Linked DNA regions of Rattus norvegicus. The protein of the gene in region 2 interacts with the protein of the main gene of each other region in a biochemical or structural test. Links are inferred from orthologs where the notes say so. Each region holds a gene or a part of one and is shown on either strand. Other genes may lie near its edges.

Region 1 (3,574 bases), on a different chromosome or scaffold from region 2:
AGGTAAACTGGTGCCTAGAAACTTGAAAATCAGACTGCAGAGTCAGTACCACACCACTGGAGCTAGGAAAGGATAAAATAACTCACCTTTTTTCACAAAGGAAAAGAATAATCAGCATTAATTAGTCATATTCCCAATGTCCTAATGGAATGAAAGTGGGAGGGAGAGCTGTCCAGTCTTTTCTGTGATTTAAAATAAAACATACTTCAAACAGTGGCATACAATCCTCTGCTCTAAAATACAGACCGGAACAGGAAACTACCTTTGGAGTTTATCCATCTTAGGGCCACAGGGTGAGGGTGTAGCTCAGGGTAGAGCATCTGCCAAGTGCTAGGCCCTACATTCAGTCCTCAGCTCCAGGGAAACAAAAAACAAAAACAAAAACCTAGAGCTAAAGTAAACACATTAAAATGTTTTTTAATTTGCCAGATAATCTTTTAATGAGAATTATAAAAGACCAAAAACATTTTTTTGCAAACTGCCTTTTTTTAAAAACAAATGATTTACTTTAATTACAAATACTGTGTATGATGATGCACTCTTTTGCAAAACCAATAAATACAAGAACCAATTTAAACATGTGATTTGCCCAAGACATTTGAAGAGAGGAAAAGCCTGATTATTTTATAATTTATAGTGATCAGAGTTTACTCCCTAAGCTAACCTTTCAGAGAGTAAGCCTGACCTGACGGCGTAGGACAGCAGTCGGGAGGCGAGACCATCCTGTACTTGCTTCAGCCTCGACGAGCTGCTCTGCTCCCTTTCCTTTCTGGAATTCCTATTTCCACAGAAGGGCTGAATTAAAAATGTCTAATAAATTGATTGAAGGAAAAGAAAGTATGTACTGAACACAAACTTCTGACATTAAGCAATTATGGATATCAAAAAGACGCTAACTTAAAAGGTACAAAAGTGAGAAAAACCTGAATTACAGAAAAGAAAGTCAAATTTATTTAATGAAAAACTAGAATAAAAATTAGCAAATACACACACACCAAAAAACAAAACAAAAAACAAAACAAAAAACAACCCCACAGCAGCACTGTGTGTTGACTCACAAGGGGAAAGCGGTGGCCCATGACCACGCAGATGGCTTGTCAGTTAAAGGAAAACCAACCACACACGTGCACGCATGCGTGCACAGACACACACCCCCAAAAAATTGTCAACAATACAATCAATCTACAACAAACACAAAGTTCAGAAATATTTTACAATGTTTCCTTTCTTAATACAAAAGATGCCCATCTTGGGTATATATATTTTTCAGTGGTTTACTGTTGAATTATTTTTAAATATATTAGTGTTACTACATGCAACTGTTTCCTGTATTAACAGCTTTTCTTTTTATTTACCTTCATGTCTAGCTTCTACCTACCAGGAGAGGTTTAGGTTGGCAAGCAGATGGGTGCCTTATTCTCTGTGAAGTCAAATGCAAATTTTAAACACTGGCCAGAAATATTTGATTGCCGTTTCAACACATGGAAATAGTTACATTGATGCCTAAATTGCCATTTTCTGCAAAGAGCTGTGCAATGCTGGTGTCAAACACTAGGCAGTCACTATTCATGATGGCTGTTGCAATTCCCTCATGAATAGACCGAGGGGTGGCTTCCCAAGTCAATCGCCGCCTATGACCATTCAGCTCAAGTCGATATGCAAAATTTTCAGCTTGCTTGCGTGTTCCTATCAGCTGTACAATCGCAAAGAACTGCTGATGGCCATCGTATTTTTCTTGTTTCTCCAAGACTAACATGAAATGAAAGCCAAAACAAGACTGCATCATCACCCAGTCAACAGCACCAGGAAGGTTAATGTCTGTAGCAAGGAAAACTATATCTTCTCCTTGCAGGGTGGTAATGGACTTGTGCTGATGCATCAGGTGGGGCATGACAGCATCCAAGGAGCCTTGCCACTTACAGGAAGCACCAGGGCAGGGGCAGGAGTAAGGCCTGAACTCACAGAGCTCCTCGTGCTCTGCCTTTTCGGTGTGCGGCAGAGTTATCTCACATCCAGAAGAGGCATATTTACAAGGGAAGAGTACGGAGTTGGCCACTTTCTCCATAGCCAAGTTGCGAATGGATCCCAACGGGCCCCGGCAGGTGGGACAACATGTAAGTTTGGGGCGACAGTTGCTACAAACAAGATGGCCACTCTGACACTGAAGAATAGGTGGCAATACATAGTCAAAGCAGACAGGACACTCGAAAAGACTCGCCAAGTCATTGTTGGATGCAGTTGTGCCAGTCAAGGCAGGTACCCTCTGGGATGGTGGACACTTTGAGGTGCCGGTGGGTAATGCTGTAGCAGTCTGACGGCTCATCTCTGTAAAGGAAAACAAGAAAATAAAAGGAAGCAGGGGGAAAGTTACAAATATAACACATTAGTAGATATGTATGTATACATGTCATAAATACTTGTAAAGCATACCACAAAATTTATCGTGAATAAAAGAATAAAATTAAGTAAATATAGTTTTAAATCCATATACAAATAAAATAAAAATTGAACGCTAAAGGTTAATTTTCTGGAGTTATATAATGAGTAAACTGTATTTCCAAAATGTTCTCCAGCATGTTTAAAATACTTTTTTGTTCTTAAAGCAGTGGAAATCTCTGGGTGGACTACACAGAATAAGAATCGCACCAGGCATTGTGGCCACACCTTTAACCCTTGCACTGCAGACACACATACAGGTGGGGATCAGGGAGTTCGAGGTCAGCCTGGTCTGCATACATAGTTTCAGGCCAAGCAGGACTACATATGAAGACCTAATTTCAAAAAAGTTCCTAAACAATAAAGAACTACAAAACTGTCTTTGTCTTAAGAACTTAAATACAGCTGGGCAAGATGGCACAAGCCTTTAACTCCCAACATTTAGGAGGCAGAAGAAAAGGAAAGAAGGAAGAAGAAAAAAAAGGAAGGAGGAAGGAGGAGGAGGAAAGGATGAGGAAGAGGAGGAAGAGGAGGAAGAGGAGGGGAAGAGGAGGAATATAAATTAAATACAGGGCTGGAGACTGGAGAGATGGCCTAGCAGTTAAAAACACTGGTTGGTCTTCCGGAGGACCAGTGTTCAAATCCCACCACCCAAATGGCTGCTCATTAGAGGCAGCCAGGGCACTCAAACATATTATGAGCAGATAGACATGCAGGCAAAGCACCCATTCACATAAAATAAAAACAAATCTTTTTTAAAAGAAGAAAACCTTAAATTACAATATAAACTTTATTTGGGCTGGACTTTTTTCCCGAGTCTCCACCTCCATCTATTTTTTCTCAAGTCTGAGTTTGCTCATAGCTTCAGGACCTACTGCTTTAGTCCTATGAAGTTCATATGCCAAAGACCATTAGAGCCGGGTCAACTCTTCCCAGCATGAACAGCATCATCACTAGAACTGTGCTCTGGGAATGGGCTCAGAGGTCACAGGGGAAGGAAACCCTGCCATCCTGTTATCTGCCTGCAGACGTCTACTCAGTCTTTTATTAAGGCAGCCAGGTATCACTTCTGTCTCCCATCAGTCAGTGCGTTCATCTGAAGACTGAAGGAATATAAGAAGTGGAGAAAACCACAGAA
Region 2 (4,232 bases):
TTTCTTCCTCTAATTTCAAGTAAACATGGTATGTGCCACTACTGTGTAGAAAGGTTGATTTTTAAAAGGAACAGCAAGAATGGAAGGCAGTGCTTAAGCAATGAATTTCTGCCACATTATTTCTACTTTGCATTTGTGGTTTTATCTACCTCCTTCCCATACAGCATGTCAAAAACAATTGCTTGCCCCTTATTTCAAAATGCTTTTTAAGATTTCAACTTTTTATTTGTTTATTTATTTACTTTTCAGGATTCAGAAATCAACTGACTGCAAAGGTCAGAGAAAACATTTTCCCTTCTACTTTTTTTTTAAATACAGTAAAAGCTTGGTTTAGCTTACAGTGCCCAGTACAAGTCCAGAATACAAGAAAAGCAAGGCTGGGGGAGGAGCTTGGCACTCAAATCTACTCAGCTATCAAACAGCGATATTCTGCTCATCTCAGAAAGAAATGAAAATGTGTTAAGTAGCACAGAAATTGTCTCGAAGCCTGTGCATCCATCTGCCTGTCTGCTGGGCTTGGAAGAAAGGTCTGTTAGCTGGAACTCCATGCAGCCAGAAGTCGGAAAGGTAAGAGGTGTGCAAAGTCTGCCATTAAGTAGGAAGAAACTGCCTGCGATGGTCCCAGAGGGTGAATCCCACAGGAGCTACCTTCCAATCCTGTAACAGGGTTCTCAATAGTAAGCCACTTTTTCAAGTGCAAAAAAGCCTTTAGGCAGCTGGTTTTCGACGGTTGGGGTTTATTTATTCCTTGCTCCACAGATGGGGGAAAAAAAAATCAGCGTCTGGCAGCCGCTGATTGGTGGAAACGAAAATGGTGATAGTGGAGTGGGAAAGAGGATTTGCTGAGCCTCCCCCTGCCTCCTCGACCTGTAACTCTTCCTTAGTCGGCTCCCCTTCACACCCAGAAGAACCTTTTTAGACTCCTTCGGGGTTAAAACAAATGGAATTCTCAGGCTGTGTGAACAAAAGCAACCCGAAGGGTGTGTGCTCCCTCCCCTCGCCTGGCTCCGCACACAGATCATTTCAGGCGGTTCAGTCCTCTGGTGTCCGCTTCCCGGCTCGTCCGGAGGAGGGGGGTCGCCTAGAGGAACCGAGAACAGGCTGAGGCAGGGAAGAAGGGGATGAGATAGGAAAGAGGCCAGCTCAAGTTCAGCCACGATAAAACCGAAGGCCCCCTGAACTCGAGGTGAAACTCAGGCTACCCTCTCTTCCCTCCTCCTGGGGAGCGTGCTCCCGGTACCCACAGCCCTCACGCACCGCCATCCCGTCCCCTCCCTAGGAAAACGAGCGAAGGCACGAGGCAGGCGAGGGGCGGGGAGAGGAGCTGACAAATCAGCTGCGGGGGCGACGTGAAGGAGCCAGGGAGCCAGAGCGCCCGGCAGCAGACGGCAGGAGACCAGCAGGTGCTCCCCCTGCCCTTGCCCCTCAGCCCAGAGCCTTTCACCCCTCTTGCATTGAAATTAGATTGGGGAAAACAGGAGGAATCAGAGTTCTGCGGAAGCCTAGAGAGCCGGTAAGTACCTGTAGATGCAGTAGCTCTGGGGATCTTGGAGAGCCCTAGCTAACAACCTGGACGCCTAGAGGAGACAGACTATGGCTACCTTGGCCGTGGGGACAGAGTCAGTGACTGGAAAGTACATCACTCGGTTTTCCTTCCGTTGGAGACGTGCCCTGCCATCCTCTCAAAGCCCGAGGGAAAGGCCAGGTTGCCTGTGGCATCTGCTTTTTTCAAGCGGAAACGCTAGGGTGTTTCATGTTGGATGCTGGATGCTGGAAGCTGAGTGCTGGGCATTGGGTGGAATTTGAGCATCCAACTTTTATACTCCAGCCCCAGGGCATTTCATCTTCCTTCTATAGCGGAAGAAGGGTGCATTTGGCCAGTGATTAATAGAAGTGCAGAGGACAGTAGGCAACAGGTGATAAGGGGTTAATGAGCACAGGGTGCAGGGTCTTCTAGAGGATTCCAGCTGAGGACAGAGCTTCATGGTTGGGTGGTGCTCAAGTGATAATGCTCAAGTGCATGGACAGCCAGCGCCTGCTCTGGGCAGATAGCCAGCAACTAGCTAGTGGTGGGTGGAAGGTCTTGCTAGGTTAGAAAGACTGGGCTGAAGGCAGTTGGTCTCCAGTTCCCTACTTCTGGATTAAACAGTTCCCCTCCCTTCCTTCTCCAAAGATTGACGACTCCTCTCTACGTCTTTTTTCCCTCTTGCCCCTATTCCACCTCTGCTCCCTCACCCTTCAGTTCTTTTTCCAGATAGTCTTTTTACTTCGAATGTCTCCTTTGGGCCATGGGAACTTGATGGGGTAGAGGAAGTCCGTCTCCTCTTCAGTAACTCCTGAAATGTGTGAGAACAGCCAAGTGATCCATCTGGATCCATCACATTCTTAAGTGGCATGACTTTTTACTAGTGTTGAGTGAACTGCTCACAATCAATCAACACTGTGCCCAGTCCTCAAAAAAAAAAAAAAAATCTCACACCAGGATGAGGCAGGAGGGGTGGGAGGCATATACTTTTTTTTTTTTTTTGTGATTTCTTTCGCCTCAATTTCATTTCTTTCTCTAGCTGTTTTAAACCTTGCTTTCTTTTACCCCAAAATTTCTAATTCAAAATGTATTCTGTATTCTCTAGTGTGGAGCAAAGATACATCTTTAGCCATGGATGTGTTCATGAAAGGACTTTCAAAGGCCAAGGAGGGAGTTGTGGCTGCTGCTGAGAAAACCAAGCAGGGTGTGGCAGAGGCAGCTGGGAAGACAAAAGAGGGCGTCCTCTATGTAGGTAGGTAGTGACACTGTGACTAATGAATCAGGGTGACTGCTGTGTGCTGTCTGATTCGTGCGCATCACAGCTTCTCAGCTGACAGAGTGACAGCTATGGGGAGGTGAGAGAACGCGAACCGAACCTGCATATTAACTCTCAGAAACAAACAGGGACAGTGCTTTCTTTCCTTAGAATAATTAATTTTGTCATTTATGTAGGGTTTTTATTTGTTTTTCTACAATCTTGTGCATGATTACACTGAATTTTTAAAATTGTCAACCCATGAAAAACAACCAAGAATGTGCTTATGAATCAAAGACATTTATGGCAGCAAGCTTGGTGGCACATATCTGTGATGCCAGGGTTTGGGAAGTGCAGGCCCAAAGATCAGGAGTTGGTGATCATCTGTCAGCTACCAGTGTGTTTGATGTCAGTCTGGGCTATGTGAGACTCCAGAACAACAACAACAACAACAACAACAACAACAACAACAACAAAACCCAAACAACAAAAACAAACAAACAACTTAAAAAAAACAAGCTGCAAGTACTCTGGGACTTTGATTTCTTTCATCATCACTATAGTTAATATTAAGTTTAGCGAATTACAATGTTTAAAACAAGACTTTTGCATGATTTTGCATGTAGTGAAAATACAAATACTTTGGCCCCCAAAAGAAAAGGAAAGCAAGTCTGCCTCAGCATGTCTCCCTTTAGGGATCACTTCGTTGGTGTGGATGCAGGAGCTCAAGGAACCCCAAAAAGATTTGTGCAGTTCACCTGTCCGAGATCATGCATACGGGGAACAGTAAGAGGTTGATAGTGCCATTTTGCCTGACAGTATACCTTGAAAGAGAGGCCAACACTTCCTTTATCTTTTCTCTGTGTTAGATTGGCTCTAACTTTACAAATCCCTTCCAATACTAGGATGGGAGGAACAGACACACATGCATACACCCTCATGTGCAGCAGAGGCCCCGTGCACATGGGAGCACAGTTGCAGGGTTCATTGACCTCTCTTTCCTTTTTTGAGCACCTGTTTCCACCTTCTTAGGAGTACATCTACCTTGGTAGAAGACCTAGGATAAACATTCAGACTGAAAAGGTGCAGGACAGGTGACAAAAGTGACAGAGATGCTACCCAGAGTACCAATTGAGGGAAGTCATCCTGACCCTCCAGAAGATCAGTGTGGAATTGACATTTGCAGACATTTTCATGAATGTATCTTTCTCATTGGTGTTTCTAGCAGATCACCTTGTCCCATTCTTCATAGAATAATTTCACATTGAGTAAATTCTCTCTTTTTCTACTTAAAACAACCTTTCAGAAAGTCTGGAAATGAATATTGTAAGAGAAAGGTGTCATTGAGCTAATTTTAGAGTATTCTTTTAAAAATGAATCTGAAGAATAATGTTTTAGATAGAATTTAAAATATAAAAGCAGGAATTTGTAGATTTTGGGGACCCTCAATTC
Region 3 (3,574 bases), on a different chromosome or scaffold from region 2:
TTCTTCCTATAGCTGTGACTTTCACCCTATTTTCTTAACTTCCAAGCACATTCTGTTACACATACTCTTATGTCCAGAGGAAATGGACTCTTACTGCACATAAATTTTCCTTTTCATAAGAGAGTACAAAACTCTGTTACCCAAAGTAAAAGTAGTTATTTTGTGTCGTGTTTAATTATATTTTATGATTAGTAAACTGTTGCAAACACTTTTCAAATTTCTAAGCAAAGTGCCTGCCTTTAATCCCAGCGAGAAGGAGGCAGACAGGCAGAACTCAGTAGGTCAGCCTGGTCTACATAGTGAGCTATCTAGGGCTACACAGAGAGACAGTGCCTCAGAAACAAAGAACTACAATAGTTCAGAAATCATTAGCAACATGTTGAAATCCTTCTGAATCTTTGTTCTGGTGATGGAAGGGAGAGAAACTTTTCTTAGAATAGTAGCTGACATAGCTGCTTGCACCCATCATCCTGGTATTATTGACAGAGACAAGGAGGTGCCCTAAGGCCTGCTAGCCAGCCACTCTAGCTGAACCATGAGCCCCAGTTCAGTGAGAAACCTGTCTCAAAAACTCAGATGAAGAGTGATTGAGTAAAACATGGCAACAGCAAGTCCTGGTCTCCATATGCACATTCATACACATATACACAAACACGCACACGAACACACACACACACACACACACACACACACGAACACACACACACATGCACACACGCACACACACACACACGCACGCACATTAGAATGTATTACACATAGTATTTATAGTATTCCTTTTTCATTTAAGACTAGTAAAGTATAATATACACACAATTATTAGCCAAGTTTTTATATGCCCATAAGTATTCAAATAACAGTGCTTTAATAGTTGCCATTGCAGAAATGATTGAAATTCCTTCACTCGTATTGATGAGCTATTAATTTCTTCATGGTTTGTCACGAATGTGAACAATAACCATCCTTTTCAACACTCGATTGCTTCCTTGGGAAACTGAACCATGAGGATGAAGACTAAACGTTTTTAAGGCTTCTGAGTGGATGCCATTTGCTGAGTTTTCATGAAGAGTCTTCTCCCTCTAGTCTGCCAGCGGCCATGCCTCACACACTGTGTTCCTTGGTTGTCTCCTACAGGCAGACAGTGGAGCGCGTCACACTGCAGAGTCAACTCCAACAACTTCTGGAAGCCCAGAAATCAGAGGGCAAGTCCCTCCCATCTTCACCCAGGTAACCCCAGTCATATTGCTATTTGAATTGTTGGGTATGTGATGAAATCTTTAAATGTTCTTCTAGCATTCTGTTTATTCCATTTAACACTTTTCAAGAAAATACTTTATTCCTACAAACATAAAAGATATCACAATGAAATGTCTGTGTCTGGGATCATAGGACCTGAGGCAGTTTCCAGCCCAGAGTTTCTGTTTCTTTGTGCCACTTGTATTGACCTGTGAAATGAGAACAAGGATGTATAGGGTGATTAGATTGAAGTAATGAAATTCATACAAACGTGGTTCGTAGAAAATAAAACAGACCAATTCTGTCATGCTCTGGCTACAGCTGATAGATTGGAGTCTTTGTTAATTGTTCAGAAGAAAACATTATGTAATCTAATCTTGTTTTCCATAAATCAATAATTGTATGAAAGGTCGTGCAAGGTCTTATGGATGCATCTAGTGCAGTAAGAAACCATCTTATATTTTCTTTATCTTCCTTCCAGTTCACCCTCCTCACCAGCTTCTAGAAAGTCCCAGTGGAAAATTCTAGATGCAGATGACGAGTCTACAGGCAAAAGCAAACTGGGAACCCAGGAGGGAATACAAGTCCTTGGAAACTTATCCAGCAGGGCTAGGACCAAAGGAAAAGACGAAGACTCTGATAAAATCCTACGTCAGTTATTGGGGAAAGAAATATCAGAGAATGTCTGCACCCAGGAAAAGCTGTCATTGGAATTCCAGGATGCTCAGGTATCCTCTAGGAATTCGAAAAAAATACCTCTAGAGAAGAGGGAACTGAAGCTAGCTAGACTGCGGCAGCTGATGCAGAGATCTTTGAGTGAATCTGACACGGATTCAAACAACTCTGAGGACCCCAAAAATACTCCTGTGAAAAGAGTGGACAGACCTAGACCACAGCCCATTGTGGAAAGTGTGGAGAATATGGACAGTGCAGAAAGCTTACACCTGATGATAAAGAAACACTCTGTGGCATCAGGACGCAGGTTTCCTTTTGGTATGAAGGCCTCCAAATCCCTGGATGGGCACAGCCCATCTCCCACTTCAGAGAGCAGTGAACCAGATTTGGACTCCCATTGCCCGAGCCTGGGAATGACTCCTCCAACCCAACCTTCTACAGAAGCCACTCAGTGCAGTCCTGACAGTGCCACTGCCCAGAAAGTTGCTACAAGCCCCAAGAGTGCCCTCAAGTCTCCATCATCCAAGCGCCGGACATCCCAAAACTCAAAACTGAGAGTGACCTTTGAGGAGCCTGTTGTGCAAATGGAGCAAACTAGCCTTGAACTAAATGGAGAAAAAGACAAAGAGAGGGGCAGGGCCCCCCAGAGGACTAGTGAGTCAGGAGAACAAATGAAAAGGCCTTTTGGAACCTTCCGATCCATCATGGAGAGTTTAAGTGGTAATCAGAACAACAATAATAACTACCAGCCAGCCAGCCAGCTGAAGACCTGCACACTACCCTTGACGTCACTTGGAAGGAAGACAGCAGATGCCAAGGGAAACCCTGTGAGCCCTGCTAGCAAAGGAAAGAATAAGGCAGTGAGTGCTGTTTGGAGATGTATTTATGCTTGTATTACTTTTAATTGATTGTGTTATTGTTACTGACTGTGCCATCTTGGAGGAAGGTCACCCCAAGATTCAAAAATTCATATATATTTTAATGACACATGCCAGTTTAAGATGAATGCCCCTGCACTTCCTTTGGAGAATACAGAGAGAAGTGAGTAAAGAAATCGCAGATTAGGTCTGACCCCAGTTTCTTGTGCTTTGGGCATTACAAGTTGTAAGCCAAGAGGCATTTATACAAGATGAAACCACCCGTCAGCATTAAATCAGTCCGCCATTGGCACTGATTCTGTCTCGGGAAGAGTCTGTTCTCCTTGTGGACTGGGTACAAAAGCCCACTTTAAAAGCATATAAACAGAAACCCCATTTCTTCTAAACGACCTAACTCAAATAACCTTTGAAATGAATATCCCCCAGGGACTGCCACATAGCCTGTTAGCACACACATCTCTAAGTGTTGACTAGATACTGGAGAGACTGAAGGGCTTGCCAGTGGACAGGAGAAGGCAGAATGCATTGTGAAGTCATTTATAGCGGCACTTCTTGGAAACCCGCCTCTAAGAATAAGAGATAGGAACATCGTTTTAGGCAGCGATTTCTGCATGCTCTGCGCTTGACATGCCATCAAAAACAGTGTAGCAGCCAAAGTGCAAATCTCTCTGTGGAAGGAATGCCTTGGATCATTCACTCTCCCATTTACTAAACCACCCAGTAGAGCGTCGGAAGCTCATCTTCTACTCCTTGTTGGGATTCCTAGTACAACAGTCTTAAGAGCT
Region 4 (4,098 bases), on a different chromosome or scaffold from region 2:
AAACAGGAATTACCTATAAAGAAAATCAGGAAGGCGAAGTGTTTCTTTTTATGAAGTTACATCCTGCCATAGAAAAGCTGAATCGGAAATAAAGACCGACTGCATACCAACCCAGTTATTATTTCATCAAGGAAAATCTGAGTAAAAAGCTCAGCCCAGCCACCAATGAAAACAAGAAAACCAAGAGAAGTTTGAATGCATCGAGAAGCCAGACAGGCAATGGCTACTCTAAAGAGCTAGGAAAGCGCCCAAGCATCTCTACTGTGTGGTTTGGAGGTTCTTTGTTGCAGGCCCCTTGAATTTTAGTCATACTTCCTCTCACGTTTCCTGATGTGTGTGTGTGAACATGAACATATTTGGGTGCTCAAGAAAATGAGACTAGCAAATTATGAATTTCTTCTTCTTATTATTCGTTGCGCATTTGTTGGTTCGAGCTTTCCCAGTTTCTGCACTGGTACTTCTCTACTTTGCTCCTCACTTCTCCAATTTGCCATCGCCCTTCTTAACACCTTTCCACTTTATCCTCCCACTCCTATTTCTTTGGAGAAATAGGTTCCCATGGCTGTGAGGCTCGAGTGGCAGGTGCCAGTCTCCACTAGCAAAGTAGGAAAGCAGCTCGTTCCCTGCGCTCTCTCCTGTCCACCCCACCAACTCGCAACTCCACAGGATCCTCAGACACACACCTCCTCCTTCTCCTCCTCAACCTCGCATCCTCTCGCACACCCTGTGGCCCTGCGCACGCCAGGCTGCCCGCCACCACAGTAACGCTCAACCCACTCGGCGGCCCCACCCATGGCCGTCCCGCCTCCGACGCGCGCACCAATGGCTGACTGCGCTCAGCCCTCAGCGGACCCTTTGATAGGGCAGAAGGAACTGACAGTCTCGGGGCGTGTCCCGCCCCCTCTCGAACCCCTCGGGATCCGGAGCAGCCCGAGCATCAGCGAGAGTAGCTGCGAGAAGCCGCGGCGGCGGCGCGTCGGTGCAGTTGCGCCATCTGTCAGGAGCGCAGCCGGCGGGGAGGGGGCTCCGCGGAGAGGAGGAGGGGTCGCTGTGCGCCGAGCCTCCGAGACCCGCCCGCTGATCAAGAGCGCAGCGAGGCCGCCTCTAGCCGGAGCGCTCCGAGGACTCCCCGGGCGCACACAAAGCCGCCGCCCGCGCCAGGGAGGGACTGGGCTGCCGGGCCGGGGACACCGGCGCCGCCCCCTCGGCGCTTCGCGAGGCCCACGAGCTCCTGGGCCCGGCCGCGGAGCCACCGGAGCCGCCAGGGCCTCGCCGGAGGAGGGCGGGGAGAGGACCATGTGAATGTGCTCCGGAACCGAGCGCCACGCCACGCAGGTAAGCGACCGGGGATGCGCGGAGCCTCGGGATGCTGCGGAGACGCCCGGCCCAGCGCCCCCGCACGGGCTGCCCCCGCTGCGGTCCCGCCGCGCAGCCTCCAGGGCGCCCCGCGACGCAGGACACTGATGCGGGGTGCCGCCCGGAGGCTGCGCGGGCACCGGGGTGCCATTCCTCGGCCGCCGGCAGGCGCCGGGTGAAAAAAATAAGAATTGGCTTGGGGGCGAGGTTGGCCCAGCTCCGCCTCCGCCCTCCTTTCGCAGCCCCCCGCGGGGACCCGGGCTGTGTGTGTTGTTTTAATGTCAGGGATGATGTAATCACTTAATAATTGATGCCCGGTGCTGCTTTCCTCCCCACCCAACCCCTGCCCCACTCCTCCACCTCCCGGCCTCCTCCCTCGGCGGCCCTTGCCTTCCCCAGCGCATCCTTCTGCCTATTTCTGGAACCTCCCTTGCACTTCCCCCACCCTCCCCTTCACCCTTCCTGTGCTGCCACCCACCCACCCTTCCCCTTTCCCCTGTGTCTGGCCTTGCCTTTTCTTCCTCTGTCCCCCACCCCTTCGGCTTTCAAGCTTATTCCTCCTCCCTTCTGGACTCGCTGGATTTCCTCCCTACTTCCCTAGGTCGGTAGATGGTTTTGTTTGGTCTCCTCTAGGCTCTCTTATCTCTGAGGCCACAGGGACTGGGCTAGAAAGAGGCCACCAAGCTTGGGCCCAGGAGGCATTGGCTGGGACTCACTGGGAGGAGGGATAATAAAATCACCCATTTTGCCCCTCCTTCCTCTAATAAATCAGACTCTCTCTCTCTCTCTCTCTCTCTCTCTCTCTCTCTCTCTCTCTCTGTGTGTGTGTGTGTGTGTGTGTGTGTGTGTGTGTGTGACACAAAGAGCCCTTTCAGTTCATAGAAAAGAGACACATAAAGTCCCCAAGGCACCACCATGCTTCTTGTCTCATCCCTGGGGCTTCCCTTTCTTTCTGATGAAGCAGTTGATCTCTAGTCCTTTCTGCCACACTCACCAAAAAACGAAGGCTCCCGATCCCGGGTGGCAGGTGCACTTATTTTGCTGTATTCCCAGGGTGGTGGCATTGAGTGGCAACTGCAGTTTCCCCTATTTAAGGGAGGAATTATTTCAGCTGTTTTAGGAGTTGCTATACTTTCAAGGAACCCTCCTTCCATCCCTCGTTTTCCTCCCCTTTCTTCTTGGGGGATAGGTACTGATACCTGAGACAGGATAAATCAATGGGTGGGGGGATCAGAAGAATTTTGTGTCTGAGTCAGAATCAGTTCACCAAGAGTGAGGCAGCCTGACTGGATTCTCTAAAGTCCAAGGCCGCTTTGCTGAATGAAGTCTTTTGAAATGTGCTGTGGTGTCCAGCTATGCTCTTTTATTTAAGTGACCGGGGCTGTGGCATGAACGCACTTGGGCTGGCGTTCGGAAGACCCTGGAGGCACCACTTGTCTGGTTCAAGGGTGACTTTGGATGCCCACATCCTCTCAGCACCAAAGCAGCTTACAGTAGTTTTCACCCTTTGTGCTCAGTCTCCCTGCCCCTGCCCCTGCCCCACGAGTACCATGCCCTCAGACTTGGGAGGAAGTGGTTTCAACTCTCAAGCTTTGGGGCTAGCTGACTATGAGCCGGGGGTGTAGATGACTGGATTCAGAACCCATGATGTTCCTCTTAAGGTAGAGATATTCATGTAAATCTCAGACATAGTGTGTCAGAAACTTTGGTGTAGTCTGCTGATTCCTGGATCATGTTGTGGGGCCTCAAGTGTTCAAAGTAACGGAACTGTCCCAAGTTTACTTTTTAGCTGTTTTATCTGAAAAGAGTTGTGATGAATTAAGCTGACATCCATTGTGGAACATACATACATACATGTACACACATATACATACATACACATACATACATGCACACACATATACATACACAGATACACATATATACACATACATACATGTACACACATATACACACATATACACATATACACACATATATATACACACACAGATACACATATACACACATACATACATGTACACACATATACACACATACACACACACACACACACACACACACACACACACACACCATACATACAGCAGAAGGGTTAATAATGAATGCTCTCTGGAAACAAAGGCTGGTTTGTTGGGATGCCAAACCCAGAAAGGAAAGTCAATACACAATAAACTCACACTGTACTGACCAAGTCAGAGGCACTTATTAATAAGGTTAAATGAGTGTGAGCAAATGCCCTCTATTTTCTGACGGTCTGGAGTCCCCACCTCTTCTGATGTTCTGAAGCCCAGGCCCAGCACAAATGTTGTCTCTATTCTGAAACCTTCACCGGCTTCTCTGCTCCAGCCAAGCCACCATGTCTCCAAATTTGTCTCCCAACACCATCGTCAGAGTCTGTTTTTGTTTATTGTCCATTTCTGCCACTGGGTCGAGAACCTAATCTGGCTTGTCTCATTTTCATTGGGTTTTACTCTGGTTGGTATTACTTGGTGGCTTCATTTAATGAGCGACAAATATGAATCAGATCAACGATACATACGTACGTACGTACCCAGCGTCTTTTAAGAAGACTCATGTTAGTAGCTATAGTAGGCCTGAGAATGTATCATGGTACAAAAACACAAGAGATTCGTCTGTGCCCCTGTGATAGCACCACATACGTGTGTTTCTGCTCAGAAGGGGGCTTGCTCCTGTACAATGAGTGATGCTGGGTCCCGTTCTCCCATCATGCCGTAGTTT
Region 5 (4,240 bases), on a different chromosome or scaffold from region 2:
ATTAAAGGCATGCACCACCACGGCACAGCTGAGTTATTTTTTGTTAAGATTTTTTTAATTTTATGTATGAGCACTCTATCTGCATGTACACCTGCATGCCAGAAGAGGGCATTGGATCCCATTACAGATGGTTGTGAGCCACCATGTGGTTGCTGGGAATTGTATGCAGGACCTCTGGAAGAGCGGTCAGTGCTTTTAACTGCTGAGCCATCTCTCCAGGCCCTAAGTCATTAATTTTTTTTTCTTTTCTTTTTTTCGGAGCTGGGGACTGAACCCAGGGCCTTGCGCTTGCTAGGCAAACGCTCTACCGCTGAGCTAAATCCCCAACCCCAAGTCATTAATTTTTTTTTTTTTGGTTCTTTTTTTTCGGAGCTGGGGACCGAACCCAGGACCTTGCGCTTCCTAGGTAAGCGCTCTACCACTGAGCTAAATCCCCAGCCCCCCAAGTCATTAATTTTTAAGAAGCAATCATAACACCTTTTTAGGAAGTCAAGAAAAAAAAATGCTAAAAATGCAAGAGGAATTGTGGATGCTAATCCTGTTACCTATTGAATCCCAAGTACCCCAAGCATCCACACAAACAAATCTCAATTAACTTCCTCACAGCCATAAGCCTGAAGCTCTGAAAAGCAGACAAACCAAGTAGCATAGCATTAAACTGAGCAGAAGAGGCATGGAATCCTGAACATTCAAAAGCCACAGATTTTATTGCCTTCGACTCCGTGGTGACTGTCATTTCGCAGAGCCATTATGTACAGCACACTGTGCCTAGAGCAATGGCTGCCAGTTTGGGGTACAGAAAGTACCCAAGGAGTGAGTTTGTTTGTTTGTTTGTTTAAAGGTTGATGCCTGAGCTATGTCCCTAAAACTTCAGATTCAATTGGCCTAGGATGTGCTGAGGGTTGGGAATGTTGAGAATTCTTCTGCTATTCTGACGTCACTGGACAAGACAAGGCAATCAAAAGGAACATCCAGGGGAAAGTTCTCTCAGCACAGCCACAACACTAACAGCAGATCTAGCCCTAACTTGTTTCCCAGCCATTGATCTATAACTCCTGATCTAGTCTTATGTTTGGGGACTGGAATTCTGCCAGCCTCAGAGGCTGGTGGCGGCAGTCCCTGGCATCCAGCAGGGCACTAAATGAATTCACAAGAGAAGGCAGAAAGGTCCACACACCTGGCGCTCTTCGTGCTTGCCGTGCACCTCAATCACGTCTCCCAGAACCTTGACTTTGAGTTCCTCTGGAGAGAAGTGCTTCACGTCCAGGTTCACAGAGAACCTGTCCTTCTCCATACGCATCTAGAATAACAAGGGGGCGGAGGAGAAAAGATGGTAGAATGTCCATTAAGCTGGAGAAGGCTCATCGTCCAGGAGATTTACTTCCTGCCCTGGTAATCCATCCTCTACCTGGCTGCTGGGGGAAAAATCCTCTTATGACTAGTGACACTGGTATATGTGAGCCACCATGGTGATACCCAAAAGACACCTCTTAGTCATCCATCAGTCCCAAACTTTACCGAGAGGCACAGGGAAGAAGACGGGTCAGTAGGAGACTAGTCACAAGAATGGGTCTGGGGATGGCATCTGCTGCCTCTCTACCCAGTGCTGGCTTTGTCATTTGTCTATAAAACAAAAGCCCCCTTTTTCTTGTTCAGTTGCCTGCCAAGTTTCCAACCCACTCGATCTGGAATGTTCTGTCCTTCCAAAGCCCTTGCTCACTCAGCTCCTGTTTCCTCACACGCGAATATTTTTAAACCACAGTGTTATCTGTGACAACCTCTGTTAATCTTATCTCCCACGCTGCTGAGATAAGAAGTCAGGGCTTCCCAAGAGCGGTCCTCTTAAGGCATGGACTGAAGTCAATGCACTGTCTCAGCCCCGAGGAACCCGGAAAGTCATAGGCCAAGGAAGAGAGAGAGAGAGAGAGAGAGAGAGAGAGAGAGAGAGAGAGAGAGAATATTGATTGATGTATCCAGCTCCATCAAAAGGAAGTGGGGAGGAAAGAAGACAGGAAAAGCCCAGAATGAGTGGGTTTCTATCTGATCTCTACAGTTTGAGATGATAAAATCTGCCAGGACTGGGACTATTAAAGAGGTGGGTAAAGGAGTTGAAAGAGGAGAAAGAGGCACCATGCACAGAAAAATGGACCAGGAAACAGGAGCATCAAACAGAAACAGGTGCCCACAGGAAGAAGAAAACAGTAACCTCATTTCTCTGTACCTTTGCACACGCACATGCCTAAAATGACTTAGGCAGGGTGAAAGGGCAAAGGAATGGAGAGACCAGGAAGGATACGTATTCCTGCCCTGGCACAAGGGAGACTTACCTCTGAGAGCCCAGTGTCAATCCAGCTAGGTGCCCGCAGGAAGGAGGGTGGCCGAAGGTAGAAGGGGCTCAGGGAAGTGGCTGTAGAGAAGAGGTCAGACTCCAACAGGTGCTCTCCGAAGAACTGGTCAAAGAGGCGGCTTGGGGAGTGGAAAGGAAAGAAGGGACGCCGGATCCAGGGGTGGTGGATGGCTATGTCCATGATGGCTAGATGAGTGTAGAGTCGGTTAGCCGGTCAACTCCTTCAGCCGCTGCTACAGCCTGCCCCTTATATATGCAGTCTTGTGAAGCTTCTGGAACGGTGATGTCAGGGGTTTTATTATCCCAGCTCCCCGACAGTTCATGGGGACTTGTGATCAGGGATTTGGCAGGGTGACACATACCCAGTACTCACTGAGCTAAGAAAAGAGAAACACGGGGCAGGGCTGAGCTGGCCGGTGACTTGTCACGGTCTTGTTTCACTAGCTCTCTGTCCACACCTAGTGGCACCCACCCACCCCATCCTTGTTCTCTGGAGCCAGGACAGGGTCTGGAATCCCAAGCAGCTGCTGGTGGGCCCCTCCTCCTCTCCAGTCTTGCATGCCAGGGGAATTGAGCCAGCAACTATCTTGGGCCTGGGCAGAGGCTGGAATCTTCCTGGGCTGAGCCCCAGGGACATTAACTCTTTGTGGAGTCCCAGAGGAGAGCTGTGACCACCAATATGTCAGAACTAGGTGTCTGACTGGAACCCCGAGTTGATCTAGGTTCAGAAGACCCTGACATTAAAAAGACAGAAAATGTTTCTTGTATTTTTGACGTTCTGTGGCTCATAGAACATTGTCTTTTTTTTTTTTTTTTTCTAAGTAATGTGCTCAGTGCCTGAGACTGATAAGGACAAAGGGTGATGTGGAATGTACAATTGGTGAAGGGCCCAACCAGGCCTCTCCTTGCCCTCCTGCAGCGCACCAGTTTCTCTTCCCAGCTTACTCTAGGACCAGGACCCTCAGCTGTTCTTCCAGGCCTATGCGACAGCTGAAGGGTATACAGAGGAGGGGACTTAGGGGGTCCAGGCTGCGCTGATCACACCCTCATAGCTGCACTCTAGACTTAGGCTCCCACCCCTCCCCCATCCCCCAGACGCTCTGCACTATTTTGGGTGGTGTAGACCCCGCCCCCACTCTGACTGAGTCCTGGCTCTCCCTCTGAAGCTGGAGGGGTCGCCTTGATCTTGTTGGGGCTACACTTGGGATCAGGGCTACTAGTCGCAACAGCAGTCATGTCGGGCCGCACAGTGCCACACGCCCACCCAGCCACTGCCGAGTACGAATTTGCCAACCCTAGCCGCCTGGGCGAGCAGCGCTTCGGAGAAGGTATGGCTCAGATGCTTCCTACCCCCACCTCCGGAAATTCTGGGCTCACTGCCCAGCTTCACTGGCCTCCACTCTACCTGGGGCTTAAGTGAACTCCTGAGGTGAGCCATCTCCCACCCCAGACTCCCCCCTCAAGCAAGACTCTCTCTGGTCTTGCTAACAGACTTCAGGACCAAACTTTAGATCGGCAGGGCTTTCGGTGTCCGGGCCTTGCACGCTTCAGAGTATTTTCTGGTTTTGCTTCTGTCCTCCAGTTCCAGCTCGCTTTTTCCGTAACCATCTCCTCTCCTTTCCCAGCCCCTCTACAGTTTCCCACCTGCTCTTCTAGCCCATATCTCCAGATATCGCCTTTCAGCCCTGTCTGTGCCCGCTGCATTCTTCCTCATCCTGCCTCTTGCCTTCTCTTTCTTTCTCTGCTCCCAGGCCTCCTGCCAGAAGAGATCCTGACCCCCACCCTCTACCATGGCTACTATGTTCGGCCCCGGGCCGCCAGAGCTGGGGAGGGCGGCAGGGCAGGGGCCTCAGAGCTCAGGCTCAGTGAAGGCAAGTTCCAGGCATTTCTGGA
Region 6 (4,204 bases), on a different chromosome or scaffold from region 2:
TAGCCCTAGGAGGCGGCTTGATCCCTCCTCATGGATAAGGAGCAGGCTTAGAGGAATTGATTTACTGAGTCTTAACATGATAAACAAACAGTACACCGTTGTGAGTTGCCAGGATTCAAATCAATGCATCTCGTAGAAACTATGCTTCAATACTGCCAGAGCAGTAATCAACTTTTTGAAGGTTATGTGATAAAGACTTCAGTGTCGTGATTATAAAAGCCTCATTCAACAAGCATAACGCTCCTGATTCTAATTACATGCTTCACTTGGCTTATCTTGCTAACTCTAGTAATGCCTCTGTGAGGTTGTGCTAGTGTCTGTGTTGGGCAAGTGTGGAAACAGGCTTAGAAACCTGGAATTAGTCAGATCATATGGTATGTGTCACTGCTAATAAATCTTATTTGATGTGATTTACAAAGAAACCTCAAGGACAGCTCTCTTTTTGTGTCCACCAAAGATAGACAGCATTTTCCAGTTTCTTTTTTTTCCCCCCTCCGGAAGCTGAGGAACGAACCCAGGGACCTGTGCTTGCTAGGCAAGTGCTCTACCACTGAGCTAAATTCCCAACCCTCCAGTTTCTTGTCAGGAAAGATGAGTAGCTTTCTAGCCAGCATCCGATGATGACACAAAGGAATGTAGAAAGGGCCAGTGAGGACTGACTACTCCTCCCTCAGGCCTGCTATCCAGAGCGAGACAGACAGCAGCTCCCTGCAGTTCATTGGAACTGCTGCCACCAGCTGTCTGAGAAGGGTCCTTTTTCCTCTCAAGGAGTCCTGTGAGTGCACCTGTCAACATTTCTGTCTGTCTTCATCTGTAACTCTGTAAGTATCTGACTCATGTGTCTCACTAGTCTCTTTAGAGCAAAGATTGTGTATATGTGAGGGTTTGTCGTTTTTCATGATAGGGTTTATCTGTGTAATAACCCTGGTTGTCCTGGAAATTGCTCTGTAGACCAGGCTGGCCTTGAACTCGAAGGGATCCCCCTGCCTCCTCCTCCCAAGTGCCAAATTTAAAGGCATGTGCCACCACTGCCAGGCTGTATGTGGGGTCTTTTAAATTTTGTTTTTATTTTTAAATTATATCTGTGTGACGGTATGTGCATGTGAATACAGTGTCCCTTAGAGGCTAGAAATCCTCTCTGTCTTGGATTTAGGAGCCTCTACTCAGCTGTTCATAAAATCCTTGTTAGAATTCTCTTCCTAAAGCTGTCATCCTTTAAGCCTCCCAAAACCTCACAGGGTATACAATGAATGAACAGCCTGGACGGATCCAGCTGCCCATCACAAATATGGCTTCGATTGCCTCACTTCCAGCATCACGTGACTGGTTTAGTCATCACGTGACTCTGTCCTCCCCTTTAAGCCGGAATTGCTGTGCTAGTCCGGCTCCAATAGATATGGTATCTGTCAATATACTTGTTTTATTTGGTAGATCTTCTAACTCTCCAAGACTCTGAAACTGCTACAATCTTCTTATCCACTGATCCTGAGGAGCTCAAGTTCTCAAGATCTTCCAGAGGTAAGGAAGCAGGGCTACAATTTGCCTGGTCAGTCTTGCTTCTGGAATTCTGCCCATCCAGATTAGGGAATTCAGTGAGTTCAGATTTTATTTTTTTAATTCAGGGCATCATGCTCTTGGAGTAAAGCACGGGTGGAGGGAGGACTGAAGGCTGAAATGGATGTGGGGGAAAGAGTGAAGAGAGCCCTCTTTGGAGTGGGCAACCGAGTAAAAGCAAGACCCCTCCAGTGTCTAAGGACATTGTCTGGTCACTAATAAAGGTGGGAGCCCATGCTGTAAACATCCACAGGCGGCTAAACTCTGGCCAGGAGAGTGGTCGCAGGATAGAGAGTCTTACATTCATTTCCTCATTTCCTTCTCAGAAGCGTCCTGGTGTCATGGCTGCCAGGTTCATAGGACTCTTCCTATTTCAGGCCATATCTTGGGCATATGGTGAGTCGAGGATGGGGATGGAGGCATGACGGTGTTTCCTTCCCCATAGTCCTCTGGGGCCTTTCACTATGATGGTGGACTTTCAGTAGGGACTCTGTAAGGCCCTTAGAGTGCCTGAGACATCTTTGGGCACAAGGAGTACAGGGGAAGGATTTATTTATTTTTATTTATTTTTATTTTTTTATTTTTATTTTTTCGGAGCTGGGGACCAAACCCAGGGCCTTGTGCTTGCTAGGCAAGCGCTCTACCACTGAGCTAAATCCCCGTCCCCTTATTTTTTTTTTTTTTAATTGTTGTTCAGACTCCTTAACTAGCATGCTCAGTCCCCCATAAACCTACTTTGATGCTTGCCTGTGCTTGTGCCCTGCTTTCTAGGTGCCCAACCCTGCATCCCCAAAAGTTTTGGCTACAGCTCAGTGGTCTGTGTCTGCAATGCAACGTACTGTGACTCTCTTGACCCCCTGACCTTACCGGCTCTGGGTACCTTCAGCCGTTATGAGAGTACTCGAAGCGGACGTCGGATGGAGCTGAGTACCGGGTCCATCCAGGCCAACCGCACTGGCACAGGTAGCCCCTTTATCTGCCCCTCCAAACCTGGACCCCAAAGTCACAGTAGTGATAGTGATCTGGACTGATTTCCCCCTTCTTCTTCCAGGGCTCCTACTAACCTTGCAGCCAGAAGAGAAGTTCCAGAAAGTGAAAGGATTTGGAGGTGCCATGACAGATGCCACTGCGCTCAACATCCTTGCCTTGTCCCCCCCGGCTCAGAAACTGCTACTCAAGTCCTACTTCTCTAGCGAAGGTGAGAAAGGGCGGAGCAGGATGGCACACTGTAATGTATGCCCTTCTTTATAGCCTGGCTTTATTTCAGTTTTTTTTTTTTTTTCTTTTTTTCGGAGCTGGGGATCGAACCCAGGGCCTTGTGCTTGTTAGGCAAGCGCTCTACCACTGAGCTAAATCCCCAACCCCTCAGTTTTTTTTTTTTTTAAATTACATTTTATTATCTGTTGTATGTGCTGTGCATGAGTGAGGAGGTCAGAGGACAATTTGCAGGTGTCCTCTGTCTCCTTCCACCATTTGGATCATGATTCAGGTCTTGCAGGCTTGGCAGGAAAAACTCTTACCCTACCCACTGAGCTGTCTTGCCAGGCTTTTTGCTCTCGCTTCCATATTTCCCCCTGACATTTGCCTCCCTTCCTTTTCTTCTCCCCTCTCCTCTCAGTCCCTCTTTGAGTGAGTCTCATGTATTCAAGACTCAAATCTACTGCAGTCAGTGATATCAGACTTTGAACTTCTGACCCTCCGGCGTCACGTTTCCCGAATGCTGGAGTTCCCCTGTTTTATACAGTGTTGGAGCGCAGACTCAGGCTTCATGCACCCCTGGCAAGCATTCAGCCCCCTGAACTACATCCCCAGCCTGCCTCTGTTTTCCCCTCTTTCTCTTTGTCCCCTTCCTCCCTTACTTTCTGTAGATCAGGCTTCCCTCGAATACTGTGTAGCCATGACTAGCCTTGGACTCTTAGTTTTCTAAGGGCTGGGATTACAAGCAGATGCCACCAAGTGTACCTGACTCAGTGCCACTGATTCTCCACAATTCCACACCTAGACCCTGGCTCTGAATGAGACTCTGTGGAGGACAACTGATTCAAGCCAGTTTTCATACTCGCCTTATTTTATTTTATTTTATTTATTATGAGACAGGGCCTTGCCTTGTAGCCCCGGTTGGCTTGCTCACATTGATCCGGCTGCCTCAGCCTCTGGAGGGATGGGATTCCAGGCGTGGTGCCACCACGCTCGCTTCATACTCTCCTATTGATTCAGACCTCCCTATCTGGGCCATCCTTTCCTGCAGGCATTGAGTATAACATCATCCGGGTACCCATGGCCAGTTGTGACTTCTCCATCCGCATCTACACCTATGCTGACACCCCTAATGACTTCCAGTTATCCAACTTCAGCCTCCCGGAGGAAGACACCAAGCTCAAGGTGGGCATTCCAGTTGCTTCAGCCCTGTTGGTATTGCTGTCTTGGGGCTGGGAAGGTCCAGGTTAGAGCTGTCTAGAGCAATGTGGAACCTTCTACAGCCTATCTGACTTGGGGGTAAGAGGGTGGGGGCTGATGGTTGGACCTGATACACTGGTTGAACTAGTATGTGTTCCAGCTCTGGGTGTCTCTCTCTTGACTGTTTGTCTCCAGATACCCCTGATTCACCGAGCCCTGAAGATGTCCCCACGCCCCATTTCACTCTTTGCCA
Region 7 (4,309 bases), on a different chromosome or scaffold from region 2:
AGGCTAGACAAGGGCTTTCCCATGGAGTCATATCCTCTATCATTCTGTACAGGGAAAAGAATTGTCTCTGTGTTACCTTTTTTATTTATTTATTTTTTTTTGAAAGTGTCTCAAAAAGTCCTGGAACTTACTCTGTATACCAGGCTGGCCTTAATCTCAGAGATCTAACTGCCACTGCTTCCCCAGTGCTGGTATTAAAAGCATGTACTTTTACAATTAAAAAAAAAAAAAAATCATGTCTGTATGTGTCCATGGAGGCCAGAGGTTCTCCTGGAGCTGAGGTTCCAGCTGCCTGATGTGGGTGCTGGGAACCAGACACTGCCTTTCTGGCAGACAGCAGCCCAATTCTCTTAACTGCTGATCCACCTCTCTAGCCCTAGCCTACGCTATTCTAAAACTTAGGCTGCTCTTGGATTTGTGGTGATCTTTCTGCTTCAGCTTAGGTGCTTAGGTCACAGACACGAGCCAGCACACCCAGCTAAAACAAATTTCTTTCCTCCTAGGAGTATAGCTAATGTGTGATGCTAGTTTTTTTTTTTTTTTTTTTTTTCCCTTTTCTTTTTTTTCAGAGCTGGGGAGTGATGCTAGTTTTAATAGTCTAAAGAACCCTACTGCGCCAGTTTAAGAATTTTGGGTCTTCTGTCTCTAATATCCTCCCTTCAGTCCCTATCTGCTACCTACCCAAATGCCCAACATTAAGCCTTCATTTTCTATAGTATAGGGAAGTAGTAACATCATTGCAGAGATTCACAATAATGTGAAAAACACAATAATGTTTTTCTCTTTTCAAGTTTCTAGCTCATCTTTACTACTGCTATTAACCAAACCTACAGAAAAACATGCAGTAGAACCTCTACAGACTTCATCCAAGGTGCCACAGTATAAGGGCGTCCCATACCCCTTTCTGGAGTCTCTTCATGAGGAAGTCGGAGCCTCCAGGCTTTTGTCCTAGGCTTGGATATTTGGCCTTTAGCTTTGCTTCCTCAGCTTTCTCAGGAAGAATACCTTCTTTCTCCTGTGTATCCTGAAGAAAACAAGCCAAGTGAAATTAATGGCTGAAAACCAATGACTTCTAATATCTGGCTACCTTTATATTATCAAAATTTTCCTGGAGGTCTACCTCTTTGTAAATATGCTATCTACACTCTGTTCTGTCTAGTGTGTGTATTATTGAAGGGTTTACTTTATGTGCATGTATTCTGCAGGCATGTATGACTGTGTACCACATGGATGCCTGGTGCCCTTGGGTTGAGAAGAGGGCATTAGGTCTCCTAGAGCAGAATTGTAAATGGTTGTGAGCTACCATGTGCTGGGAACTGAATCCAGGTGTTTTGCAAGAGCAATGAGTGCTCTTAACCACGGAGCCATCTTTTTTGCTCATCCACTCTTAAAAGTTAGACCTTTGCTCAAAGATTTGCCCAAGATAACTGTATCAAGTAAAGAAAAACAAGCTAGTTCTTATATTAAGCCAAGGAATCACCCCAGTGACCTGTGAGGATTAGGGTAAAGGTAGTATCTAAACATGATACTTGAATCATAGAGCAAGCCATAACTCACTCAGTATTGCTAGGAGGAAAGATAAAAAAAGGACCTGGGAGAGTTCCTGGCTGTCGTACAGGTAAGAGGAGCTTAATCTTCTGAGAGGCTCCCTCCTCATTCACACTCTAAGAAGCAATCTGGTCTCGCTGTGGACTCTAGCTCGGCATGTAGCCTATTCTAAAGATATCTACCTGAGTAATATACTTTCATAAATGCAGGCAGGCAAGAGGTAAACAGAAATCAACATGCCATTAGTTTTTCTTGTTTTGGTGTTTTTAAAAAATTTTCTGAGACAGGTTCTTTGTGTAGACCAGGCTGGTCTTGAACTCAAGAGATCCACCTGCCTCTGTCGACCGAGTGCTGGCGTTAAAGGCATGCGCCACCATCTCCTGGCTAGTGTATTTTCATTTGAAAAACAGGTTCAGAGAGAACACAAAGTGTATTTAATGAGTCCTTGAGCTCAGTGTTAAGTAACTCAAATATGATGTTGAAGAAGGGGTTTGGCACTAGTGTTTTCATAATGCAATGGTGAGTGGACTACATCCCACTGAAGAGAAATTCGAGGGGATCTATAAGTCACCGACGGTGAACAACAAATCATCCCTATCAAATAGGTCTGAGGAAGTTGCCACCTGAACCTACCTCGCGGTAATAATTATCCTTCCCCCGCCCCCATGCTGGTTCATTTTAAATGTCTTCACCTTGACCTTTATCTTGCTGTGGATGAAGGATGAGCTCCGGTCTGGTGGTTATCTCTACTAATCAAACATCTCATTTACAGCTCAGGACCACCAGCCAGCCCCCTTTCATTCGCCTCATCTTTCCAAACACCCGCCCACGCCAGAGCTCGGCCAATTATAGAACAGCTTCCATGAACTGAATAGAGGTCTATTGGCCAATAAGACTGGGGATCCCACAGATTGACAATCGGCTTGACTAATCGACATTAGGGCACTAGGCCGCGCCGAAATGTAGCCTGCGCGACATTAGTAGTGGCCAACCCCTGTGGAGCCCGAGGCAGAGGCGGCCAATCAGCGGCGGCCGGGGCGTATTCCGCCCGCGCGGCCGCCCCCGTTCCCCCTTCTCCTCACCTGCTTCTCCTCGCCGGTTTCCTCCGCAGGGTTTTCTTCTTCTTGTTTCTGGGACATGGCAGGACCAGGACTGTGCAGTGAAGGGCCCGGGAAGTCAGCCGGAAAAGGGAAGGGGGAGGGGAAACGGAGACAACCTGAGCTGCTGCTCCGGCTACTGTCACTATGGTTGCTCAGTCAAAATGGCGGCTCAAGCCCGTGACGTTGAGACCGCCCCCTCCTATGGGAGCCAATGAGAGTGTGCTTGACGGGACAATGACGTAACGACACACCAATAAGCGTTGACTGGAGGTGGAAGGACTCTTCACAAGCGACAGGCAAGCTAGAACACCAACCGGGAAAGAGAGTGAGCCTTAAGACCCAATTAAGAGCCTTCATGGACCTTAGGGGCAGGACAGCTACTTTGGTATTCTGGCTTCTTGGGCGGGCCGAAGCTGCTTTCAGTTACTTCGTCAGGTCCTGGTCCAGTTGCTGGACGTTGTTGCACCAGAGCTGGGTTAACATAAAAATCCTTTTTTCTCTGGTGCAAAGGATCAATCCTTGAGCGGTGTTAGAAGGAAGTTACCCAAGACCAGAAATAAAAATTGGAAGACAAACTGATATTCAGCGGTTTTCCAGGACTGAGTGCTAGCTTGTATGAGACTTGAGTTTGTTTGTTTGTTTGTTTGTTTGTTTTTTAAGATTTATTATATAAGTACACGGTAGCTGTCTTCAGACACACCAGAAGAGGGCATCAGCTCTCAGTACAGATTGTTGTAGCCACCATGTGGTTGTTGAGATAGTTCTTGAGCATCTATCAAAGTAGATAGTACTGTATTACTTTTATAGGAATACATACATAAGGCACCCTCTGATTTTCAAAGCTTTTTAATTCTCAGATTAAATTGTTGTCATCTCCTCCTCCTCCCCCTCCCCTTTTTGTTTTTTTCTGTGTAACAGTTCTGGCTGTTCTGGAACTTACTTTGTAGACCAGGCTGGCCTCAAAATCATGGAGATCTGCCTGCCTCTGCCTTCCAACTGCTGGGATTCAAGTCTTCTTAAGAGTGTTAATGAGTATTACATATTTATATTCTGAATAATTAGTCTAACAGCTGGGCATCAACCTACACCTTGAGAGGCATAGGCAGCAAGGTCACAAATTCAAGGCTGTCTTTGCCTACATAGAATTCAATGCTAGACCCTGTTGCAAAGCAGAAAAAGAATAAAGGATAATGGCTACAGGCACTATCTCCATAGTAACAACCCACTACTCTCTTGTGGCATATTAAACAAAATACAACAAAGTCTAATAACAGCACTGCCCATGACATTTTCATTTTTTGAGAATGAGTCTCCCTGTATAGTCCTTTGCTGGCCTATAACTCACTATGTAGAAAGGGCTGGCTTTGAACCCCTAGGGATCCACCTGCCTCTCTGCCTCTGCCTCAAAGTGCCAGCATTAAAGGCACAGGCAACAGCAATTTTTGGTAACTTCTTGTGACAGGATCGGGGACTTCTTGATCATTTCTCATAGCATTAGGTGCACTTCTCATGGGACAATCTGAGAACACTGGAACACAGATTATTACTATAAAAGGCAGTATCTGGTAACCATAGATATGGAAATGTTTATAAAGCTCTAGGAAAATTTAAAAGACCCATTCACAACACAGGGTCAAAAGGAAAAAGTGGTTCTGACAAAG

What was found.
Region 1: the proteins of Snca (region 2) and Siah1 form a complex in vitro, tested with the Homo sapiens proteins (3 studies listed by BioGRID, with this or other methods). The link is inferred for Rattus norvegicus from reciprocal best matches to the Homo sapiens genes SNCA and SIAH1.
Region 3: the proteins of Snca (region 2) and Sncaip form a complex in vitro, tested with the Homo sapiens proteins (3 studies listed by BioGRID and IntAct, with this or other methods). The link is inferred for Rattus norvegicus from reciprocal best matches to the Homo sapiens genes SNCA and SNCAIP.
Region 4: of the proteins of Snca (region 2) and Fyn, one has a biochemical effect on the other in vitro, tested with the Homo sapiens proteins (3 studies listed by BioGRID). The link is inferred for Rattus norvegicus from reciprocal best matches to the Homo sapiens genes SNCA and FYN.
Region 5: the proteins of Snca (region 2) and Cryab form a complex in vitro, tested with the Homo sapiens proteins (4 studies listed by BioGRID, with this or other methods). The link is inferred for Rattus norvegicus from reciprocal best matches to the Homo sapiens genes SNCA and CRYAB.
Region 6: the proteins of Snca (region 2) and Gba1 form a complex in vitro, tested with the Homo sapiens proteins (2 studies listed by BioGRID). The link is inferred for Rattus norvegicus from reciprocal best matches to the Homo sapiens genes SNCA and GBA1.
Region 7: the proteins of Snca (region 2) and Ensa form a complex in vitro, tested with the Homo sapiens proteins (2 studies listed by BioGRID, with this or other methods). The link is inferred for Rattus norvegicus from reciprocal best matches to the Homo sapiens genes SNCA and ENSA.

The regions. Positions count from the first base shown.
Region 1 is NC_086037.1:36,572,613-36,576,186, reverse strand, and holds the end of Siah1 (E3 ubiquitin-protein ligase SIAH1), read right to left. Parts: intron 2,326-3,574; 5' UTR 2,324-2,325; coding exon 1,475-2,323; 3' UTR 414-1,474; downstream 1-413. UniProt on the Homo sapiens protein: E3 ubiquitin-protein ligase that mediates ubiquitination and subsequent proteasomal degradation of target proteins.
Region 2 is NC_086022.1:91,123,459-91,127,690, reverse strand, and holds the start of Snca (alpha-synuclein), read left to right. Parts: upstream 1-1,375; 5' UTR 1,376-1,513; intron 1,514-2,630; 5' UTR 2,631-2,656; coding exon 2,657-2,777; intron 2,778-4,232. UniProt on the Homo sapiens protein: Neuronal protein that plays several roles in synaptic activity such as regulation of synaptic vesicle trafficking and subsequent neurotransmitter release.
Region 3 is NC_086036.1:48,530,941-48,534,514, forward strand, and holds part of Sncaip (synphilin-1), read left to right. Parts: intron 1-1,134; coding exon 1,135-1,227; intron 1,228-1,717; coding exon 1,718-2,771; intron 2,772-3,574. UniProt on the Homo sapiens protein: Isoform 2 inhibits the ubiquitin ligase activity of SIAH1 and inhibits proteasomal degradation of target proteins. Isoform 2 inhibits autoubiquitination and proteasomal degradation of SIAH1, and thereby increases cellular levels of SIAH.
Region 4 is NC_086038.1:44,321,439-44,325,536, forward strand, and holds the start of Fyn (tyrosine-protein kinase Fyn), read left to right. Parts: upstream 1-1,225; 5' UTR 1,226-1,302; coding exon of another isoform or gene 1,303-1,335; intron 1,336-1,514; exon of another isoform or gene 1,515-4,098. UniProt on the Homo sapiens protein: Non-receptor tyrosine-protein kinase that plays a role in many biological processes including regulation of cell growth and survival, cell adhesion, integrin-mediated signaling, cytoskeletal remodeling, cell motility, immune response and axon guidance.
Region 5 is NC_086026.1:59,990,148-59,994,387, reverse strand, and holds the start of Cryab (alpha-crystallin B chain), read right to left. Parts: upstream 2,858-4,240; 5' UTR 2,529-2,857; coding exon 2,328-2,528; intron 1,301-2,327; coding exon 1,178-1,300; intron 1-1,177. Other genes in the region: Hspb2 (heat shock protein beta-2), read left to right, coding at 3,582-3,675, 4,099-4,240. UniProt on the Homo sapiens protein: May contribute to the transparency and refractive index of the lens. Has chaperone-like activity, preventing aggregation of various proteins under a wide range of stress conditions.
Region 6 is NC_086020.1:176,905,813-176,910,016, forward strand, and holds the start of Gba1 (lysosomal acid glucosylceramidase precursor), read left to right. Parts: upstream 1-1,389; 5' UTR 1,390-1,518; intron 1,519-1,880; 5' UTR 1,881-1,895; coding exon 1,896-1,950; intron 1,951-2,325; coding exon 2,326-2,517; intron 2,518-2,605; coding exon 2,606-2,752; intron 2,753-2,841; exon of another isoform or gene 2,842-2,916; intron 2,917-3,802; coding exon 3,803-3,936; intron 3,937-4,146; coding exon 4,147-4,204. UniProt on the Homo sapiens protein: Glucosylceramidase that catalyzes, within the lysosomal compartment, the hydrolysis of glucosylceramides/GlcCers (such as beta-D-glucosyl-(1<->1')-N-acylsphing-4-enine) into free ceramides (such as N-acylsphing-4-enine) and glucose.
Region 7 is NC_086020.1:185,873,018-185,877,326, reverse strand, and holds the start of Ensa (alpha-endosulfine), read right to left. Parts: upstream 2,828-4,309; 5' UTR 2,688-2,827; coding exon 2,631-2,687; intron 1,025-2,630; coding exon 899-1,024; intron 1-898. UniProt on the Homo sapiens protein: Protein phosphatase inhibitor that specifically inhibits protein phosphatase 2A (PP2A) during mitosis.